Schizosaccharomyces pombe: one gene and its partner. Changing the gene in region 2 together with the main gene of any one other region gives a genetic interaction. Each region holds a gene or a part of one and is shown on either strand. Other genes may lie near its edges.

Evidence for each region.
Region 1: mutations in SPOM_SPCC4B3.13 (region 2) and oca2 together harm fitness more than expected from each alone (negative genetic interaction), as found in Schizosaccharomyces pombe (one large-scale study listed by BioGRID).

Annotation. Positions count from the first base shown.
Region 1 is NC_003421.2:754,736-767,534, forward strand, and holds oca2 (serine/threonine protein kinase Oca2), read right to left. Parts: upstream 7,890-12,799; 5' UTR 6,119-7,889; coding exon 4,166-6,118; 3' UTR 3,633-4,165; downstream 1-3,632. Other genes in the region: xap5 (splicing factor, xap-5-like protein), read left to right, coding at 522-670, 734-1,451; protein Emc6, read left to right, coding at 2,630-2,689, 2,771-3,026, 3,116-3,126; heterotrimeric G protein beta subunit Gnr1 , read right to left, coding at 11,435-12,634. UniProt on the Schizosaccharomyces pombe protein: Overexpression causes cell cycle arrest.
Region 2 is NC_003421.2:1,145,376-1,155,927, forward strand, and holds SPOM_SPCC4B3.13 (MatE family transporter), read right to left. Parts: upstream 8,553-10,552; 5' UTR 8,488-8,552; coding exon 6,868-8,487; 3' UTR 6,582-6,867; downstream 1-6,581. Other genes in the region: ubiquinol cytochrome-c reductase assembly protein Cbp3, read right to left, coding at 1-532; TIP41 type 2a phosphatase regulator Tip41, read right to left, coding at 1,008-1,766; anillin-related medial ring protein Mid1, read right to left, coding at 2,078-4,840; protein Cwf20, read right to left, coding at 5,467-6,339; histone lysine H4-K20 methyltransferase Set9, read right to left, coding at 8,906-10,231.

The DNA of each region.
Region 1 (12,799 bases), 390 kb from region 2:
TGATTTTTTAGGATCACTTTAATGACTTTATATATTGGCATTCGAAAGATGGTTTTGCATTCAATGACCAGATACGAAAATTTATTAGAGTATTTATAGCAACACTAGTGATTAGCTAGTTTTTTTTTTGTTTTTAATCTATTGCTATTTTTCCAAAGCTTGTTAATACAAACGAGTAATTCGTTTTATTTGTCTCTAGATTGGTTTTAAAAAGTGTCTATACAAGCAGTTAAAGATTACAGAATGCTTCAAAGTGCCCCACCTCGTTGTTATTCTATTTAATAACCGTTTTGACAAATATAAAAAACTTATATGCAACGTGACTTTGGCAAAGTGTGCGTTTATTCTAGGATCCCTCATAGGTAAATGTAAAAAACATGTTCTTCTTCTACGATAAATATAGTAATAGTCATTTCTTTCATTTTGAGATTTGAAAACCGAGGCAAAAAAAGGGTATTTTGGGTATTCAAGCTTATTTGGAAGAACGCTCACCACTCACGTTTTTTTGAATTCTTCATACAATGAGCGGCCATACTGATGCCGATGAAATTCATGAGATTTTACGAAATAGTACGACTGGTTTAGTCCATTTAAAGGATTATCAAAGAGTAAAACAAAACATCGTTGAAAAACGAGAGAAACATGCGCTATCAACCACAAGTACTAAAATGTAAGTGAAAAGAACGAGAAAAGCCCGATAGTATTCTAAATATGACTGACAATTCAATTTTAGAAAAAAGAGAAAAGATGCTTTAAGCAAAAAGGTCAAACAGGGCATTAAAGTTAACAAAGGAAAACTTTCTTTTGGTGAAGATGAAGAACTGGAGAATGATGATCTACCTTTAAAAAAAGTTGAGAAAAAAATGTTTATGGGAAAGGATCCATCTGCGGATACCTCCTTTTTGCCAGATGCAGAGCGAGAAATACGTGAAAACGCGAAGCGAGCCGAATATCGCAAACAATGGCTAAAAGAGCAGGAGCAAATTCGGGAAAAAGAGATTTTGATACCATTTATCTATTACGATGGAACAAGTACCACTTATCATGTAAGGACTAGATTGAAAGATTCGGTTGGACACTTTCTTGCTGATATGAAACAGCAAATCCCATTTTTGAAGAGGATTCTGGATATGGATAAATTTTTACTGGTTCAATCTGATTTAATCATTCCCCATCACCATGAGCTTTACTACTTTTACATTAATAAAGTTCAAGGACGTGATGGACTTTTATTTGACTTTGATAAGCTGTCATGCTCTAGTCCAGAAATGGTTGCAACTACACAACTTCCTTCTCAATGCATTCCTCATCTAGTTCAAAAATCATATTATTTACAAAATCGCCATGTGTTTCCATGTGTGCATTGGGAAGTCTTTGATTCTCGAAAAGATTATTCATTGGAAAAGCATGCAACTGATCCTAACGCTGCATTATTTTACCGGCCCTCATAATGCCTTTTAAAAAGTTTTCGATTTTTTTTCTCTTGGTTCTTTATTTTTGTTTTGCATACTCATACTTCCCTCATCGACTAATTTAATAACAATTTCATTACAACTATATTGTTTTTATGTTTGTATTTTAAACAAATGAATTGCGCCAAACATATAACTTGATAAGCTATACAAAGAGAGAGACTTTGGTAAAAAAGAAACAGATATTATCCACTAAGTATTCGCAATGGGTTTTAGTATTTACACTTACTACTCTCAACATCACTCCAACCTTGACTGAAAACCTTGATTTCATTGATGTGCTATAGGATATTGTAAAATAAAGTAATTAAAAAATTAGCAATTCGCTTTTGGAATTATTAAATGTTTCCTTTATTATTGAATTCTCATATTTCTGCTTGTTTTTATTTAATGTATCGCAGCGTTGGTATGCAAATACATAGTATTTGATCATAAACATATTAACGATACGTTAATTTGCGGTGGATTATACTGTGCTATTTAGGTATACAATTTTTGGTAAAGAAAAAAGTGATCGTGACTGAATGATGAGAATAACTATTCTATTGTAAATAAGAAATGAAATTCGCTTTTCGTTCTCTTGGAAGTATAAGCATGTCGCTTTTACGAATGTTCACGAGTCTCTAATCCTTTCGGTATACTGTAAACAATCTAGTATGTAACGTTTCATCCACCATTTTCAAGTTTTAGAATTAGAAAACCAGTAATACAGGAAATATAAGATGATACTTTTTTCTAAAACAAATAAATATGAAAAATCGACCTTGATGTAAAACGAGAACCTCTTTTAAACAATGCGATTTCCCAATATCCTAGTAATTAGCCCATTTCTGTTCAAAAAAATCAAATGGAAAAAAATAAAGTACTCAATTGTATTGAATAAACTATTTCACCCTCCAAACTAGCCAACATTCAGCCCAAGCAAAAAGTAATGCTTTTTCCCATATCCATATCGCTTGTAGCTTTACATGAAAGATTGGCAATTACGCAGTTTGCAAAATGCTTTTAAGGATACGTCAAGCTGCGAAAAAATTACGTTCCTACTAAGTCCTTATGTAGTTAATACCGCAGTATAAAGATGCGTTATCCATCATTTTTTGGTTATAATTCTACAAGCGGTGAACTCAACTAAACATCAGAATTGTTCATAAGCTAATATGGAAAGGGATAAAGGCGTCGCTCCAATTGTTGTAGAAAATGTTGCATATAATGAACAGGTAAGAAATGATTGCAGAGCTAGATTTTCTTGGTACTAGTTTTTTTAAGGATTTTATAATTGAGTGCTAATGAATCCAAAGGTCGTTTCTTTTGTTCGAAACTTGACTTCTAGTTTTTTCGGGTGCGCAGCTGGTATTTTGGGTTTAACTTCATATGAAGGGCTTGCTCTGTATGTACTCGGTTACTTCTTCGTCTCCTTTCTACTCTTTGCATTGAAAATGCGTGGTAACTTAACTAAGTATTACCAGCCCGGATATAAGTTTTGGATCGCTAAAATATTAGATGGCGCACCTTCTTATGTTTTAACTTGGACATTGTTCTACAGTTTAGTATATGGTAAGAAACTTGCTCGATCGTTGCTATTTTATTTTGTTTGAATAGTCAGATCTCGCATTGAAACAATTACACGCTAACTAAGTCATTAGTTTATGAGTAATGTGTTTAATTTGATTTATGCATTTGGCAATTAATCCAAGATGAACCCTCCTTATTCTTGTTCAGCCCTTTCGTTAATAACACATATACCTCATTAAGATCTATTGTTTGAGAAAAAAGTGGATCTCTTCCTTTTGTTCGTGAACCCATCCTATAAATATTTTGTATTTCCTAATAAAACACAAATCTAACTGTTTTTTTACATTTCTTTACTTTTCCTATAGAAAATAGGATATTTGTTTAAAATATATTTGTCCTGTCAGCGATGCTAGAACATAGCACACACATTCCGTTGTATTCATGTCGTCTTCCTTAAATTTGATTTCGAAAACTTTGCATGAGATATGTTCTACTTCTTTAAGAAATTGTCTCTAGTGCTTAAAAACTAGCTGCTTCAGGGCACATGGATGCCTAGGCATTTATTTTTTGAACACGTGTTTTACCATTATTATACAGTTGAAGTAAACACTGCATATATTCAATATTTGCAACAACTTTGACAACGGTTGAAAAGGACAAAATATCATATTCAAACACGATCTTTGAAAATTTTGAGACTAATGAATTGTATTGTATTATCTAAACTTACTAAAAAATGAAAACCAAATTCAAAGATGCGACAATTTTACATTTATTTTCAAAATTGTAGAGATATTTTTAATCTACCACAGTAGATTTCCCCTATTTACCATATAAATAACTCATAAACAAGCTAACCTCACAAAGACAATAATAATAATATAATAACCAAAGAAAGAAAAAAAAAATCACCAACAATCATAAAGTTGAGCTGATAAAAAAGGGACTGACTATTAAATAGAGGAGATTATAGTAAGAAATTGAAATGTCCCTAATAATCAAAGAATAAAGTATTTTTTAACATAAAAAAAGTCTGAAAAGAAAACTAAGTTACACCGTCAACGATTAAGAGATTAGCTCATTAACAAGCCACCACATTATTCATTTTTTGGTATCGTTTAACAGATCACCAATATCCAAGGCGACTTTGTAAACAAACGTGGGAAAGACAATATAAGTTTTTAATGCTTTGCAGGTGGAGCAGGTGACTCTTCTGAAGCCACCAAATTATGGACATGTGTTGGAGAATGAATAACTTTACCATTTTCCATATGGCACATCGAAATATCATTAATCCAATTGTCTGCAAAGACCCTGTGAATGTCGTAACGCTTAACAGGATCCAACTCCAACATATGAGCTATAACAGCACGAGTTTCTCTTGGTAGTAGGCGCAAAAGTCTCCAGGGTCCATACAACTCTTGTTTATGAGTTGAAGAGTTATCAGTTTTAGAGTTTGGACTATGTGATTCATCGGTTTTTCTAATAGGTTCGCATCCTTGCTCGACTAAGCGCTGTTTTTTTATGTCAGCAAGTATATCACTGGGAGACTCAGCATCATTTGAAGGCTGTTTCATACAAAACAAACGGAAAGAATTGTCTGAAAGCTTGGGATATTTCCAAGGAAAGCGGCGAAGAGCCATACAACAGAAAATAATGGCGGAGGACCAGATATCCACTGCACGAGGATCATATAGTTTCCGGACCAAGGTTTCTGGTGCAAGGTATGGATCCGAACCGACAACACCAGTGGCCTCAACGATATCGGCTTCAAAGGGGTATTTGAAAACGACAGCGCTACCAAAATCAATGATTTTAACAAAGCAATTACTATCCACAACCAAATTATCGAGTTTCAAGTCTCGATGCGCCAAACCCATCGAATGTAAATAGGCAACACCTGAGAGAAGTTGTTTGAAACAACAATAAACTTCAGGCATTGTCATCTTACCACTCATTACGATGGAAAACATATCGTATGGAGCATATTCCATAACTTCATAGAATTTTTTATTTTCCTCAACAATATCAAGGGTCTCAATAATATTGGTATGGTGCAAAGCACTACCAATACAAAACTCAGCAGTAACCTTTCTGGCATATTCACGCTCGGTTTCAGTAGGCCTTCTTGCACGGAATTCTTTGACGGCGAAAATTTTACCATCAGAAGATCGCTTCATAATACGGACAGAACCGCCTGCACCAGAGCCAAGCATTCTTCCAAATTTTCCGTATTTTTTGAAAAGACCGAAATGATCATCTTGGAGGTTAGCGGAAGATTTTGACTTGGAAACAGATGGCTTTTTCTCCTTGTCTGTCTTTTGATGGGATTTGAAAAAGCGACGAAGATCTAAAGAACTATGATGTTTTTCGTGCTTGTCATGCTTATCATGCTTGTCATGATGATTAGGAACAAGAGATTTCAACGATAAACTACCAGAGTGTCCATGATGACCATGCTTTCCATGATGAAGACCCAACTTTCTGAAAATGAACTGTGAAGGGATATCATGTGGATTTGTCTTAATAGGAGCACGGCGGGTGCGTCGATAAGGATCGTTGGGATCGCCGACAAGGTCTTCTGAAGAAGGGTATGCCTGAAAAATGGGGGAGCGATGATGCTGAGTGTTAAAAGAGCCTTCATCAGATTCGCCTTCACCACCACTGCCGCTGTTTTGTGAAAGAGCAGGAGAGGTGTAACCAGTCGAACCTGAAGGTTTAGGACTAGCAGCATGTAAAGCATTTTCAGTACGAGGGGGAAGGACGGTAGAAGAATTAGCAGAGCCATGATAATCATCTTCATCCTCAGAGGTGATAGCGGAAGGGGGAATGGAAATAGGTTCGAAGTGACGTGCAGCAGATGAACGATAACGATCCTCGGCAAGTTTAGGGTCAATGTGATTCTTTATATGGACGGGGGATTGAACTCTGGGAAGAGGATGATTCATATCATCGTCCGTATCAGCGTGCTCAGAAAAGTCGACAGGATGCAAACGCTGAGGAGGGTTACGAGGAGGACTCGTTATTTTTAATTCAGTGTCAAGTTTATTTTCCAGTGAGGAACTGGAATTGTCTGATTTATGATCGCTATCCCCATTAAGGTTAAACTGTACATTGGGAGGGGTGACAGACATGTTCGTAACGGCAATCATGTGCAATTGTAAAATAAAGAAACAAAAGAAATATTCTAGTTCACTGAAGAGCAAACCACCGGTAAGATTAGAGAAAAAAGTGTTTTACAATGAACCAAACAACAAGTGGAAGGTTTGGTAAAAAGGTAAAAAACAGGGAAGAAAAAAGACAGAAAACTTCAGAATACAACAAGGAAAATACAAAAGAGAAACTTGAATGAACTCAAAGGAATGTAGTTGTTAAACTATTTAACAATACAAGTTTTCAAGTACGACACAAAACAATTGCGTAAGAAAGTACGATTCAAAGAGGCAATCTCAAGACGGAGTGAATGGGAACACAAGAAATAAACAAACACGTCAAAGAGAAAGTAGAGAAAAATCAAAGATTTTTGACAGATATTAGTTTGTAACGGAGATACTGTCAGACGAGATGGGAAATTGAGGAAATGTCAAGCGAGTTTTTTTTAAAACAACGGATGACAAGGGAAGAATGAATAAATAAATATATAAATAAATAAATTCCAAGTAAGAAAAGGGTTGAAGAGAGAAAAGAAATAAGTATTTCCTAAGAAGATAACTTTTTTTTGATGGGAAATCGAGCGCTGACAACAACGAATTGGTTATTGTTTATGGAAAATTCTTTGGCGCAACGACAAAGGAATGAGAGATTTCAAGAACAAAAAAAAAAGGAAATAAGGAAGAGGGAAAAAAAACAATACTGGAATTAATTGGGAATGGGGAACCTTTTTATAGGTATATCAGTAGATATTTTCCAAAGGGAGAAATTCAAGGTAAAGTGAGCCGACGAGACGATCCGATCGATCACGACACACAAAGAGGAAAAAAAAGAGGCTTTAAGAAAAGCACACAAAGGAAATAAAAAAAAAGAGAAGATAAAGAAAAAGTGTGAAAACCTTGGGTTCAAATAAAGTATGAAAAATGAGAAATGAATTGAGATTACGAAACAGGAAATTCTATGTATTCATAGAAAATAGAACGTACGTAAAAACAAAACAAAACAAAAAAAACAACAACAAAGAACAAATCAACCCAAAAAGGGAATTCGAAAGAATGTTGATTGAAGGAAGAATACCAAGGGGGAAAGAGAATCACACAATTCACTCACTCACTCACTTTCGGGATACCGATCACACCAAATAACGAAACGGAAGAAGCCGGAAAGAAGGGAGTGGAATAGGAAGGGTGAAGGGACGAATGGCAAATTGAGTAGAAAGAATTCGACTCAATGAGGATGGATGGATGGATGGAAAATTAAGGGAATTGGAAAAAAGCGTAAATGAATAGAAAAGTTGGAAATTGATTTGTTGTTTTTCAGAAGAAATCACAACAATAACAACAATGTTTTGATGGGAAATAAGATCTTTATGCTTTATTCAATCTTTATTTTTTCGTTTACTTTCTCAAAATTCTTTCAATTCCTGTTTTACCCAGAAAAGAAATCAAAGGCAGATAGACCAAAGGGAATCAAAGCAATGCAATGGACAAAAAAAACTTTCGTTTTTCGTATCGTATCGTATGGTTTGATTTGCTTTTGCTTTTGCTTTGTTGAGTCAAAGTTGTTGGACTATGACTGACGGGGGAGTGAAGTAGAGCTTTTTAGTATAATTCAAATCTTACAATGAATTTTTTTATTTGCTAGTTTAAAAAAAAAAAAAAAAGACGACGAGAAACAGGTTCAATTCCTTGATAAAAAGGAATCAATCAATGTGGCTCTCAACAATACTATGAAAAAAAGTGGATGGGAAAAGGCAAAAAGTATTGCGGTGCACGGCAGGTGTATATAATATATGTATACGAAACACGCAGTCTACTACAGCATCTCCCATGTAATCTCGAATGGCCGCTCTACATCAACTGCCGAGTCGCATTGGATGGAGGAGCTAGCAAATCCACACGATCTCCGGGAATCCCACCCATGCAAGTGCCGAAGTATGATGTCACTTTTAGTTCGGCTACAACGTGTTACCTCCGGCGAGCGACTCCACAATCCGTTGCACCGCGCTAAACGCTGAGAGGAAGAACGAAAGGCTAAACGCTAGCAAGCAGGGGGGATGACGTGGGGGAGGGCGAAAGGGAGTTGAGTGAGCGAGACAGGCGGTGTGTGGGGCGAGAGAGGGGAGTAGAGGGGAATAGCGAAGAGGAACGCGACCTCGTTGGGGAGAAGGAGAGCGAAAGAAGGTAGATGGGGGGCGATTGAGAGTCGAAGGAGGAATTGAGATGGGATGAAAGGGAGAGGTTAAAGATGAATAACGTATAAAAAAAGAGATTGTTATAAGAGATAGAGAGATGGAGAGAGCTAAAGAAAAAATTAAAGAGGTGGAAGAGTAGCTAGAGCTAAAGTGTTGAAATTAGCTAAAGTATGAAATTCACTAGAGTGTGGGAAATGTAGATAAGTAAATGATGATTGACATGTTTCATTCAATACTTTGTATCATCATTTGTCAGGAAATTAATTCCGTTGATGTTATCATTTCATCCATCTGCCATGGTCATTGCTTCGTGCGACCGCCAGTCGCTTCCTTTTCCATTGAATTTGGATCCGACCGTTTGGTGGAAATTTGGCAGAGGATCAATCGGAAGGAATGATCGGGTTTATTAAAGTTGAAGGAAAGAAGGGAAAAAAAGTTAAACACAAAATAAAGTAAGGAGGAGGAGGAGGAGGAGGATGAAAAAAAGAAAAGAAAATTTCAGCAACCCAAATCTAAACAAGGGGAGGGGGAAAAAAAGAGCGGCAGTAAGCAAGAGGAATGGGAATTTAATTAAAGAGGAATAGTGATTTGATTAAAGAGGAATAGTGATTTGATTAAAGAGGAATAATAATTTGATTATAAGAAGAATAATAATTTGGTTCAATTCAATTCAGTTTGATTCAACTCTTGTTGCTTCTCACTTGCCTTTCTCTCTCCTGTTTATTGCACACACTATTCCTCGTTTGTCATCTCGCCCATCCAGCATCCTGACAATGACACTAGTACGAGGGAAAGACATTGGAGCATTTCTAGAGCAAAAGCAAAAGCAAATGCAATTACAATTACAATTACAATTTTATTTTATTTTTATTTTTATTATTATTTTATTTTATTTTATTTCGTTTAATTTAATTTAATTTAATTTAATTTAATTCGATTTTATTTATTTTCTTTTAATTTTTCCTTTGTTTCCTTTTCTTTCACGGCCGCCCTACAAAATTTTCTTCTTCCTCATCCAAACAGTCAGACGGCCGAACACAAAACAAGAGCAAATGCTAGATGCTCATGAAAAAGTAAAACTAAACTCGATTGACTTTTGAGACTATATGCACATCAGCCTTTCCTTTTGTTTGTTTTTTTGTTTTTTTTATTCTTTTGTTTTGTTTTTCTTCTCTTTACTTTTCTTACCAGCCCTAAAATTCTGTGGGTTTGTGATATCACTATATTTCGTTATACCACTCTTTTAATGACATCTGTATATCTCGTTATCTTCATCTTTTCAGTGACTTCGCTGTACCTCTTTATATCCCTTTGCTACTTGTTTAGTTAGTTGGTCTAGTTTTTTGTAGCATTCGTTATTAGTAAGATCCTTTTGTGGCTTTGTTTGTACTTTGCTTTGAATCGAACGGTTTTTCCTTTTATTTTTTATTTTTTATTTTTTATTCGCTGGCTATATTGCTTCAAACCATTTCTTACATTCGAATGGTTTTTTTGTTTTTTAAGCATAAAAACATATAACATTCACTCTTTGACTAGAATTCAAAACAATTGCCAACATCTTTTTGATTTTTCTTCTTTTTCTTTTCCAATCCATCAATGTTTCTATCAATGTCTTACAATTCTCTCTCTATCCATCTTTCATCTCATCTTTTTCTTCCTCTTATTACAGACAGACACCTTCTTCGCTCACTCTTTCCTACTCTCTCTCTCTCTCTTCCTTTGGCCGCTCCACGTTTCATTCCATTTACCGGCCTTCCTTATTTCTCGGTAATGGTTTTTCCGATCGTCACGGTATTGCTCTTGTCTCTTTCTTTACCCACCTTGGCGCGCCCTCGGCACTTGACTTGACTTGATTGCCGACAAAGTCAAGGTGTAACATAATGGATCTGCCCCATCAAACTTTTTCCTTCCTCCAATCGTTGGCCTTAAATTTACTTTTCTTCCAATAAGCTTTTCATCTGCGTTTAAACATTTTTGCTTCGGTTGATGCATCTGACGTGCTTGGGTAACACCTTTTGCTCGTTGGAAGATTTTGCACTTGGTTTTCAATTTCCGCTATACTTTTGTTACCGGTCTTTATCATACTTGCACTATACAATATTATCGCAAATATTTAACGTCTCGTTGGTTTCGCCGAAGGACCGCCCCGCGGCTGTCTCGGTTCACTCTCCAACAGTACTCCAGACTGTGGTAACGTGTTTGTATGCAGCGTAGAAGGATTTGTTTATAAGATTTCAATCTTTTTTCTTTTTCTTTTTTTTTTCTTGGTTTTAGAATTTTTATTTTTATATATTTATTGATTAATTGATTTACTTATTGATAGATTGGTTGGTTCATTTTTTTTCTTTCATCTTTTTCCAATCTATATGTATGTGTATATAAATATTTTTTATTTTATTATTTATTTTTTATTTATTTATTTTTTTCATTTCCCTCTATTTATTCACTCCGGATCACTTCCATCCTTATGTTATTTTAAAAAAAAATTTTTTTTTTCTTGTTCTATACTTCTGTTTATTTTCATGTCCTTTTCATTTCGTTCAATTAATTTCATTCCATTTCCTTTTCTAATATTTTTTTTCCTTTGCGATCGCTACCTTTTCCATACATATCTTGTTTTTTCCTCCATAGTATCCACCTTGTAAAACAAAATTCAATTAAATTGAAAAATTAATATTTTTAACAAATTTTTGAAAAGTTCGAAACTGCTGATTTACAATTTTCATCCATTCTTTGCTTTCCATTTTCTCCATTTCTCCTCTACTTGCGACACTTGGAAATCCATGTATAACCGAGTTTAAGGTTATTTAATAAGCGAATGTGTAGTTTTATTAATACAAAGATTGTTGCGCTCTTATAATCAACTATTTGCATAAAATTCATCTCTTTTATTTTTTAATTTATCATAATCTAAATAATGAAACCCCTCAACATGTCTGAGGACTCCTCCTGATTGCGAAAAAAACACCCATTCACCAATACACCAATTTAGAACCGGTTTTCTAATGTTTTTCTATTAATAATCAAATCATCCTCATAAAGTTCTTCCTTCAAGCTCACCATTTTTTATTTTTTCAAGTATTCATTCATTCCAAATTTTGCTTTTTCAATCCATCCAAACCTGTAAAGCCGAAACCGTTCCTGTCCAAAGATCCTTCTCTTTACTTTCATCCTCTTCTTCACTTTCATCCTTCTCATACTTGTAAATTCTATTTCCATAACATACACACTTTATCTGCATGTTTATAGGGTTCGCTTGTACTGTGTTTACCGTCAAATCGTAATTTCCCGTCACATGCGTTTCTTCCACAAGATCCTTGTTTCTCCATCTACGAATACTTCCATCCGTCCCACCTGCCAAAATTTCATCCTTTTTATCAGTGTCGAAAAGAATCCTTTGGTTCGTATCGCCACGATGCCCTTCAAGAGCATATACCATGTCGCGCACATACCGTATATCCCAAACTTCAATCTTATCACTGCATCTGCTTCCAACATATAACTTTTCTCCATCCTCACACCATTGTAGATGTGTCACTCCGTTTCCTCTTTCAATCGAAAACTCTAGCTGACAAGGGCGACGTCCGCAATCATTATAAATCCCAACTCGATTTGAATACGTTCCCACTGCCAATGTTTTCGAATCCATCGGATTCAAGGAAAAGCATGACTGTATACCCTTAAGACTAAATTCCCAAAGAGGGACTTTATATCCATGGGTTACCGTTGTCATGACAGGTTCTTTACATCCCGTTCTTATATTAAAATGATGGAGACAGTTTTTATCACCCGCAATCAAATACTCCCCATCGTTGGTAAACTGTAAACAATGCGATCCTTGATATCTCTCTTGGTGATCTATCATGTGATATGAAGCCTTGTTCTTTCCTGTAGTAAAATTGATCAACTTGATAGGTTGATCCCTACTAGACACTGCAAAAAGGTTACTGGAAGGATCGTCAAGTTTCATTCTCGAATACCAACTGTAACTGTAAACTGTTTCCGGTGATTGATATTTATACGACAGATGTTTTGAAAAGTTCAATGGTCCATCAGCCTTTTTGGATAAATCGGAAAACGGCACATTCCAACAGTTAAGACATTGATCCTCTGTTAACGAAAGTATAGTCGATCCATCCGGCGACCATCTTGACGAATGAAAAAAATTCAATGGCTTTGTTGGACTTTGAGCAATCACATTTGTTCCTAAATTAATACTTCCGCATACATAGCCGAAATTTTGACTTTTCTTCTTATGCACCAAGTCATCCTTCTGATCCTCAAAGGAGTTTACACAATTATCCATTCCTTCCTCAAGTTAACCTACTTTATTAACCATGTATGGATTATGGCTCTTCACAATGTCAACTTTAATTTTTTAAATATATAATATATATATGGATTTCTTTCTATCTGGTCATAAGGGTTGAAAACGAATAGTCCTTCTTTAAAAAACGAATTGTAATCATAT
Region 2 (10,552 bases):
CCATGTCTTCAAAGAAACGAGTAGTTAATGCCTGTGAAAAGGCAACTTTTTCATTTTTTGGCAAACCACGAATGCGAGTATGGAGGATCCACAAATGTAATTGCGTTATTTGAAACCAAGACTGAAATGTCATAGGAATTTCACACTTCTGGTACCAAAATTCAAAAGCACCTAGCGAGTTTTTTTCGGGGGTAGCTTGTCGAGCAGCCTCAAAATACATGTATCTTGCAGTACCAGTAGCCTCATAATATAAATTTTGTTTAGGAGAGATATATTTTTGATAAATAAGACTTATTTTCTTTAGAAAACTATTTGGCGGAGCCACTTTACGTGGATCTTGAGGAGGTGTAAGGGGTTTGTATCTGAGTTCTTCTACTGGGTCTCTTCTCTTCGTTTCCGAAGGTGAATGATTAATAACATTTATTGGAGAAAATGAAAATCTTCTTCTTAAGGGACCGTATATACTCTTCCCCCATACCGGCTGCTTAACAAATGCTGGTCTCAATGGCAAATTTAAACAGCAGCGACTCATTACTGAATGACGATAAGGATCTTTTGATAATCTTTTCTTAATTAATAAAATTAATTATTACCTGCAAATAAATACGTAGGAGTTGGGTTGAAATAAAAAACGGATCGATTAATGTCGTACAATATAAAGGGGAAGAGAGGTTGTGACAGGTTGATTGCCAAATACAATGTTATAACGAACGATCAATATTACGAGGCCATCATTCTTCCTAATTAAGTATACTCTAAAATTTACTGGACCATTTTAAATTTGTTTGCAGTTTCAGTAGTATATCTTCGCCGTTTAATCGTACCAAAGATTGTATCTATTTATTTTGCTTTCTCAATTAGAAAACCTAAATTAATAACCTCTTAGTTGAAAATGATTATAAATATTACCATGAACTAAACGTAATAAACTTGTAAATTGCTTCAACACTCATTCGTTGACAAAAGTTCTAAATTCTCATGTCTGCCATTAGCGAATCATTTTAGCATCAAAAATTCAATTTATAGATTTTATGGTCAACGGTATCAAGGCGCTCACTTAACCAATTGTTATCATCTAGCAATGCAGCTTTGTCTCCCCCCACAGGTATTTGTTTAATAATTTTGTCGTAAGTAGCTTGCTTTTTACGGCAGTCCTTCAAGAGAAAATCATTCAACAAATCAATATATATCCTCGTCTCATTCAATCGAACATTTACCTTGTCTAAACGTACGACAAGGCGTGCTAACAATATTAAATGACCCTGAACAACTCGAGCTCTCACATCAAACATTGATTTTCCATTATCTGCTAACTCATCTTCGAAAAGAATTATCTCATTGAACCATAAATTTTGTCCTGCGTTAAGTATTTTTTGAACAGGTATTACCTGATCAATTTCAATGAATTTTGCATTTGGACGTTGTATAGTTCCCTGATAATCAGTATAATAAGTCCAATCAAATGGGTAAATCACAGGGTATTCTTCTCCGGGCTTAATTCTGGATTTGGCCCAGTCTTTTGCAAAAGAAACTTGCATTACATCTTCAGGTTTGGTACCAACCATTTTAAGAGCATCTTCAGTAAAAAATCCAACTACAGGCTGATTCTTGTATTCAATTGAGATGTAATTATTCCCAAAGGTCATCTCAGGAGGTGGAAAACCCAATGTACTTTGAAGGTTCTCCATCTCATGGCTTTTTAAAATTGACCCCCGTTGGACTTTGATAGTCCAATATTTAAATGAAAAATCATCTTGTTTTTGCATCTCCTTTAAATAATGTGATTTGAGTAGTTGCTTGACCCCTATATTATTGTAACAATTTAGAGTGCGTACGGCAAAATATAGGTAATGTAAATTTAGCCAACACAAAACACCTTTATATTACTTTACTCATTATAGAGTATATTCAAAAAACCAAAAGTTGATTAATTATTCAGATTAAAAATGAAAAATGATCTATAAGTATTAATTCAGTAGTTATATAATTTCAGTTCAACTCCCTCATTTAGTAAATCCGATAAGTAAAAATTATTCAAAAAATACATTAAGACGATTAGTATTCATAAATTCAGATATTAAGCCATAAAATTCACGTATTCTTGTAACCATAATTTCTCAGTACCCCTATCTAGAGCAAACGAGCGTGAATTCATCACCTGAAGCCATTTTTGGCAAACCTTTTTAGAGTCCGCAAACAACTGAACATGCCTTCTATCAACAGATGTAGCCAATATTCCAGCTACTAGACCGAGGTTTGAAACTGCCTCTGAAAAATTTACCATTGGGATTGAAACTACTGTCTTAGAAAGCTGAAAAGTATCCAAATATTGCCCACCTTTTTCAGCATAAAAATTCAGCTGCTTTGAGCGTAAAACGACAAAACGTCTTCGAATAGATGAATCTTCCAATCTATACAAGTATCCCTCATTATATAGATAGTTACTTCTAACGTGTCGCAAGTCCATCGTAGCTTGTTCTAAGGTAAATGGCAATTCCTGCTCTGGAACCGAAAGCTCAGGAATATACAAACAAGTCAAAGTTAGATTACCAAGTGTACGTTTCCCTATAGAGTTTATTTTTACAGGAATCGCTTCCAAGAAGCCTCTGGAAATGATGGGTATTTCTACGTTGAAAGCCTTTCCAAAACAACTGTCTTTGACATTACCCAAATTTAACGTAGCAGTACCCGAGACTTTCTTGATAACCACTGACTTCTTAGCCTTTGAATTCTCAACTGCAGCAGCCTTGTTGAGTTTTCTCTTTTTGCGTCGGTTGAAAAGCTTGTCAAAAAATTTCCTAGCTTTGGATTTCGTTTCAGCAGGCTTACCGTTTGAAACGTCTTTTGTAGCAGATACTCCTTTCGAACCGTTGGACTTGTCCTCAATAGGGATGTCAAGAAACATAAAACTCACTTTAAAGTTATCGTCAACATGAAAAGCAAAATCATGGTCCAACCTATTATTCCCATTAACAGCTTGCCAAGGAAGCTGCATATTTTGCGTAGGCGTATTAACTATTATCTTGATAGGTGAATGGACTTCACTTATCGAAATATTCAAAATGCTGTTCAAATGTATATAAAAGCGACCAAGTGGCAAGGGCGCCTTTGGTTTCTCTTCAAAAAATGTTTCATTCACAAATCCAAGAGAAGTAACAGGACGTGGTGATTGATTTTCAGTACCATTCGGGACTTCGTAAGACGTACTCTTATCCTGACTTGGAAGATCAAGGCGATTCAAATCAAAGGAATGTGCACGACTTAAAAGTTCGCTATCTCTGGCTACAGGCGTAGACTGCCTAAGTTCATCAATGCTGGCGGATATCTCGGCACTAGGGTCGTAAAAACCTACTGTACCAGTTTCCGAATAATTCCATCCTTCGACGTTATGGGACTCAGAACTGACTAAACTTTGGCTAGACTTGTTTGGCTCATTTTCACAATAATTACTATAAGTACGCTTCGTTCCTGGTACGGGTTGCATTGATGGGTGACGTAAATCTTCAGAGCTTAAAATAGCACTCAAATTGTCAATGGTAGAACTGCTTTTTATACGACCACGTTGACTAGATATACTATATCCCACGGAAGCAGAAGTTAGATTGTATCTGGGGACTTCATGATACGTTACAGATCCATGACCATAGGCGGCCTGAGATTTCGGAATTGAAGTGGCACTAATATCCTCATCCATATTTTCCTGTTGTAAAGAATCATTGATAATAGTAGAAATCTCAGGTTCTGAATTACGGGAAGATTGAAGGTATAACTCATCATAGTCTTTACCGTTGGTGGGAAGGGAAAGCTCAGAGAAATCATAAACTTTCCTAAGTGTACTAGCATAGGAAGATCCACTGGAAATCCGTTTTGCTTCCATCTTGGCCAAAACCTTTTTACGAAGACTTTCTGTAGAGATATCTGAGTCGTCTAAGGTGGCCTCTGGGACTGAAGAAAAAGGCTCTGAAGTATCTTCAACAGGGGCTTCCTGAATGGGAGCTAAAGGTTCTAAAGGTTTATAATCCATATCGAGAGACGCCGTCGTTTCGACCCTTTCCAACGCTGGATTGTCCTCTGTGGTATCTTTGGGAAGACTAGGAAGAATCCTTGGACCTACAGTAGAAGATGCAGATAGATGTGCTGGAGGTACGGGCTTGACATCAGATGGTATGCGAGCCAAGTTGGGAACGCTTCCAGCTCTTGCTCGGGCTGGGTTTGTAGACAGTTCATTATGGGATTGATATGGATGTTGAACAGTGTATTCCAACGGAGACATTGTCTTAGCTCGACTAAATTCTGCTACTTCTACCGCCCTCTTGCGAGACGATTTGGAGCGGTCAAAGGATAATTCAGCTAAATTTTGATCCGGATTAAATGTTTCATAATCTGCAACAATATCAGCACCTTTCAAAGACGCAGTAGAAGAACTTGTCGAGTTCATAGTTCCTGCCGAGTACGTCAAACTAGGAATGCGACCTTCTTCCTCGGAATTAATCCTCTTAAACACTGATGTACTACTCATTCTTTTACGATTATCAGGACTATGTTGAGAAGAAAAAGATGAATCGAGGTGCCCATAGCCATGCATATACATGCTTCTTAAATCAAGTGACTCTAAAAGATCTGTCGCAACGTTTAGTTCCGAAAGGTTTCCAAGGGACATATCGCCATCTCCATGTGTAAAGTTTTTTGTTTGATCATATCCCGAGGTTTCATTACTGTTACCCTCAAAAAAAAGGGGTGTTTTTTCTCGATTTGGAGAAGAAAGAAAACTGTTTTCTAAGCCTTTAGAGTCAAGAGACACATCTTTTGCTTCTCTATATGAGAACTCTTGCTCTTTCATCGTCAGGATAGCTTAATTAGACTTTACAGACTATAATACCTTATCGAGTGTTAAAATGTGGACACAGTATCATATAAGCACCCTGAAGTACAACAAAAGACGAGCCTTCTTCTTTATAGCAAATATTAATTCAAATTCTATTAAAATTGATGCTAAAAGCACGAAAACCTCTTATAATTTATTGAAATCCTTCTTCACCTCAGTCATGTGGAGTAGGCATAGGTCACACAAAATCGGTAGACGCTATGATAAGTGGTAGTCCCAGTGAGAACACTGATTATATGGTTAAACAATTCAAACTCTGGATATACCATAAATCGAAGATTAAAGCCAAGTTTCCTTTTTAAAATTAACAAAAAAAGGCTAGTTGCATTGCAAATATGAATTATAGCTGGGACATACTTGCAAAGATAATATTGTATTATCAGTATGCTTATGAATAGCGATGAATAAAGTCATTAGTATGTAAAATAAAATAAGTAAAATCATATTTTGTTGTCTGCTATTTTCGCAGAAACTAAAAAAAAATACATAAAATGAATCTGTTGATAAACAGCTTTTAATTTACAAATACACGAGCAGTTAAAACCTAAAACTAACTATCGGGGCGTAACATTTACTTAAAGCTAAAACCCATACTTTTGAGAAGATGCCTTTTTGTTTGATCGTTGCTGCTCAAAATAAGCTTCAAAGTTGTCTTTTTGACTGATAGCCATTTCAACAAGAGAAGACAGTTGATGACGACCAGGTGCAACACTTTTAATAGTAGGGGCGCTTGGCAATGCTTCTTGGGTCGGTTTTGGAAGTTTGTTGATATCAACGTCTATAATTCGTCCCTTCTCTTTTCGGTGGCGTCCAATTTCAATGTAATCTTCATTGATAATGTTTATGTCCTCTGCATTTGAATGTACTGAGTGATTAGCAATAGAAATGAAATCGTTCTCGGGTTGATTCCTCAATTTCGGAGGATTTGCTCTAGCTTTAGGTTTTATCAAAATTGGTTGGTAAGGTTTCTGATCGGAATCTACTAAAGAGGCTTGCTTTGACTCTGATCCTACGATATTAAATAACGAAACGTTACCAGACTTTTCTGAATACGTTGATTTCTTGACAGTTTCGGAGGATCCAGTAGAGGTTAAATCGCTTACAGAGTTATTAGGTAATAAATAGTTTTCATTTAAATCAAGGTCCGATCTTTTAGATGACTTTGGAGCTAATTCAGCTTGATTTTTTGGGGCAGGCAAAAGTTCAAGTAAATCATTAGATTTAAATCGTTCATTAGAGATAACATCAGATTCATTAAAAGTTTTATCATTAAAAGAAGATTTCTGTAAATCAACTTGCCGTTTCAGGCGTTTAGGTGACTTTTTAGTGCTGTCAACCGACAATTTTCTGCGCGCATGCTGAAACAAAGTAGGATCGAAACTTTTAGAAGCTAATGGTGTTTCTTCTTCAATATCGCTTTCGGATTCTGATCGAGGATATGAAACCAGAGACATATTTTATTAACTTTTGATATTAAGTCGTTTAATAATTCTGAGCGAGCGATTTGTACTCGGTAACTATTCTCACTGCGAACAGAATTATTTATGGCAATTAATATACTCGCATCTGCAAGATGATTTACATATTTATTCAAACTTAAATTAATTCTTTAAGTAAGTCTTAAAAAGAAATAATATTTAATTGAATGCTACCGCCCAACGTTGCTAGCTAGCATATGTGGTATTTTATATATTAATCACCCAAAAAGATTCCAAATTACCATTAATTTAATTTACTTTTATAAGCTTCATAAATATGAGAGTTTAAAGCACTGCAATTTTCGTAAACTTAATTTTTAGGATAGGCCAAAACATGGCCAAATCTTGAAGACTGGAAAAAGTACCGACTCGAATACTTTTATCAATCAACTGTTAGTAGTCGTAACCATGGTATCATAAACCGAACATATCTCTTCAAATATATCAATTTATGACAAACCACAATACATATTTAAATAATCATTAACTTGTCCGTATCAACTTTTAAGCCTCATCAAACTGACGATTAGCAAGTTCAACTAAATGGTCCCAATTGACATGCAATGAGCACCAAGTTTCTACTCCAGCAATAATTAGAATTGCAGCTCCAATTCCAATCCATAAACCGTACAGCCCCCAATCTAGCTTGAAGCAAAGGATTATGGCAACAGGCAAACCCAATAAATAATATGCGATGAAATTTACTACCCCACCAATCCTTTGTCTTCCTTGTCCCCGAAGAAGGCCTCCAGCTACACATTGTGTATTATCGGCAATATTAATGAGTGCAACAAGGGGAATGATAGTTGCAACCAATGCGACGACATCTTTATCAGACGTAAAAATGTAAGTCCATGTGTTGCGAGTTAAAAAAAGGATTACAGCAATGATAACACCAATTGCAGCACCTAAATTGATAGAAACGTGCGTAGCTAGCTTAGCGAGTTTCGTATTTCCAGCACCAATTAAATTTCCTACTCTTGTGGCAGCTGCAGCAGCGACACCGAAAGCCAAATTATAAGAAAGGGTCGAGGTAGTAGACAAAACAGACATAGAGGCTAATTCAGTGGTACCCAACACGCCCGATGCGAAAGTAACGAGTTCAAAAGCCCAGTACTCACTGCAAATCATAATTACACCAGGAACAGCCAATCGACATAACGGGCCCCAATTTTTTAATGCTTCTCTACTAAAACCTCCCCATGCTTGTCGTCCGTTTACCTTCATAATATAGATAATTAGAACAGCACAAGCACTCCATAGCGTTAATGCTACAGCGACCGGTGCACCTAGAAAACCGAAACCAACCCAGGGACTCCACACAAAAAGGTAATTAAGAAAAATATTAATAGGTACAACAATTGCTAAAATGTATGTTACAGGATGAAATATACCTTGCACCTGAAGGAAACGTTTTAGTGCTTCAAATAATGCGTATGCCGGACTAGCCAACATCATTACTCGCATATACTTTGCCGCAAACATACAAGTAAGAGGATCCTGTCTAAGGAATAAAAGTATGCCCTCTATTTTCCACCATATCAAGAAAATAGGGAATTGTATCAACAACAATATGGCCAGAATCCTCTGTAAATGTAAACCCACCATTTCGTAATTTCCAGATCCGAAACTTTGAGTTCCAACGGTATCCAAAGCAGATACAATCCCCTGATAAATAGCAAAAGCCGTAATTGTGGCAGTCATGTTAGACAGACTTGCAGCCGCAAGCTCTGTTTTACCCAAGTGGCCCAAAGAGAAAACAGTAGTAACCACCTCACCATACTGAAGTAAAGACGTTAATACAACAGGGGTTGCGAATTTAATAAGTAATGTTAATTCTTTCCACCATGCCTTGCTATTAAAGTCTTCTTGTACTGAAAGGCCACTCGCAATAGATTCGTTTTCTTCTGTTTCCTCTAAAGCGCCATATGATACATCAGTCGCAGGTCTTTGTACCCTAGGTGTAGGCTTTCTTAAGGAAGTAGTGGGTCTTTCTTGTGGAATAGGTGAAACTTCCGAAGCTGCGGTGTCAAGAAATTGGGGTCTTGACAAACCGTAAACAAGACTCGATCTTCTTCGTTTAGGCTTATAAGATCCTAATAAAGGATCATTTTCCCCTTCCATTATGGATATGTCTGATAAAGTTAAAGGAAAAGGGGGTCAAGTTTAAAAAACTTGTGGATGCTAGTAAAGTTTGTGAGGCCAACCGGGCACAGCTTATATAGTGACATATTACACAACCAAAATTTCCCTCAGTTATAAAAACGTAGTATATTAAAACAAGTCAATACATTGAACGTTAATTTATTGAATTTAAAAGCATTCAAATATTTAGTTAATAGAGGTGGTGAATCCCATGAAAAAATCAACAATAGATTGAATTAGCGAACGGAATGATTCAAATGTACATTGTTCACCTTCGGATATACCCTGAATAGTGCAAGATTTTAGTTTTTTTTTTTTAAATAAATGCTTTAAAGTCCAACTAACAATGACCTAAATTAACCAAAATTTCCAATCTTAATATAAATAGTCTAGTCAACTAACTTTGATAATCAACAGCTTTTTTGTGTCGCAGAGACATACTATGCGAGCTGGTAACTAAGTTCCTTTTTGTATTAATTTCCTTTTCTTTCTCTAGTTTCAATTCACGATTAACTTTATGTCTACAAGGCCAAGGTAATGAAAAGAGTTTAGAATGTCTAATACATTTCGGACAAAATGCACTCGAATTTTGAATGTCTTCATTAATAAATGTCTGGCTACAGTTTGAGCATTGGTAAACCTTTCTTTTTCCATGTCTTTTTTTCCATAGATCTTCACGAAATTTTCGATAATCATCCACATTCAGTAACGGACTATGGTTCGTTATGGCCATCTCAGACAAAAGCCTTTTTTCTCGAGACCACACCCTTTTTTTGTGCCTTGGTATAAATAGTGAAAACTCCTCATCCAAATCAGAACTGGACGCATCACTCAGTTCACCACCTGAATCCCAAATATTCAAGAAGCTACGATCTTCCTCGGAAATCACGTAACGATTTGACTGCGGCAAAGAAGACAGATCGGAAACATCAGAACTACTCTTGGAAGAACAACTTGTTGAAGTAGCACTAGTATGGAAAAGCTTTTTAAAACCATTGATGCCCATTCGTTCACATGAGACACAAAGGCATTCACAATTTTCAAGGCCAAAGTAATTAGAAGAATAAAAGGTAGTAATTTCTTCACCTGGTTTTATGTCTCTTACACAGCGCAGCCAAATGCGCTTACCAGAAGTGTTAAATCGACAGTTAGCATTGCAGTCATGATTAACGAATCGTGCAGGGCCCAAAAATAGACACATCGAATCTAAGCGGCTTGAATGAAGGATGCTAAAGTCTTTTCCAATTCCTATATTCCGCTCTTCTTTAGGAGATAACTTAATAATTGTTCCACAGAGGTCTGTAATATCTTCTCCAGCATTAATTGATTCACGCGCTATTACGCAAGCTTCAGGCTTTGAGGAAGAAAAGTATTGGTTTGTTGAACAAATTTCAAATTTGCATGATGGTAGATATAATGAGAGGTAGTACTTCAGATGTCGAGTAAATGCTAGTAAAGAAGTGCTTGACAATCTCCGCAACAATGGATCAAGTTCACGAAATTGCAGAATATTTTTTGCCGCTTGGTCAAGGTCTGTTTGCTCTATAATATATTTGGTTATAATATTTATAATAGAACAGCTTTCCATTCGCTCAATTGATCGATCCACTAATTTTCGTACTTTATGAATTTGGGACCAATAAAACACCTTGTCAACTAGCAAACAAGTACAAACATCGTCAAAAAGAGAAAACGTTTCAAGATGAGTATTCGTCTGGCGCATTATGCATTTTCATAGGCGTTAGGCAGGTATCAAAATGTCATGAAACATTCAATGTTAAAAGTACCTTTCCAGTTGAACAACGATGAGTAATCTTGATGTATAAATTATAGGTTTATATGAGTTTGCTCAGAAAATAAAGGTTAGGAACTCGATAGTTTATCCAAATATGTAATATATTTCTGCGTTGGCAAATACAAAAATGTTTTTGAACACAACAATTCAACACAATCACTTATTAGGAAATCGACTAATTAGCGAAATTTAATTATTCTCGTTTTAAATAAAAGAATCCACGAAAGTCTGAACGTTGTAATTAAATAT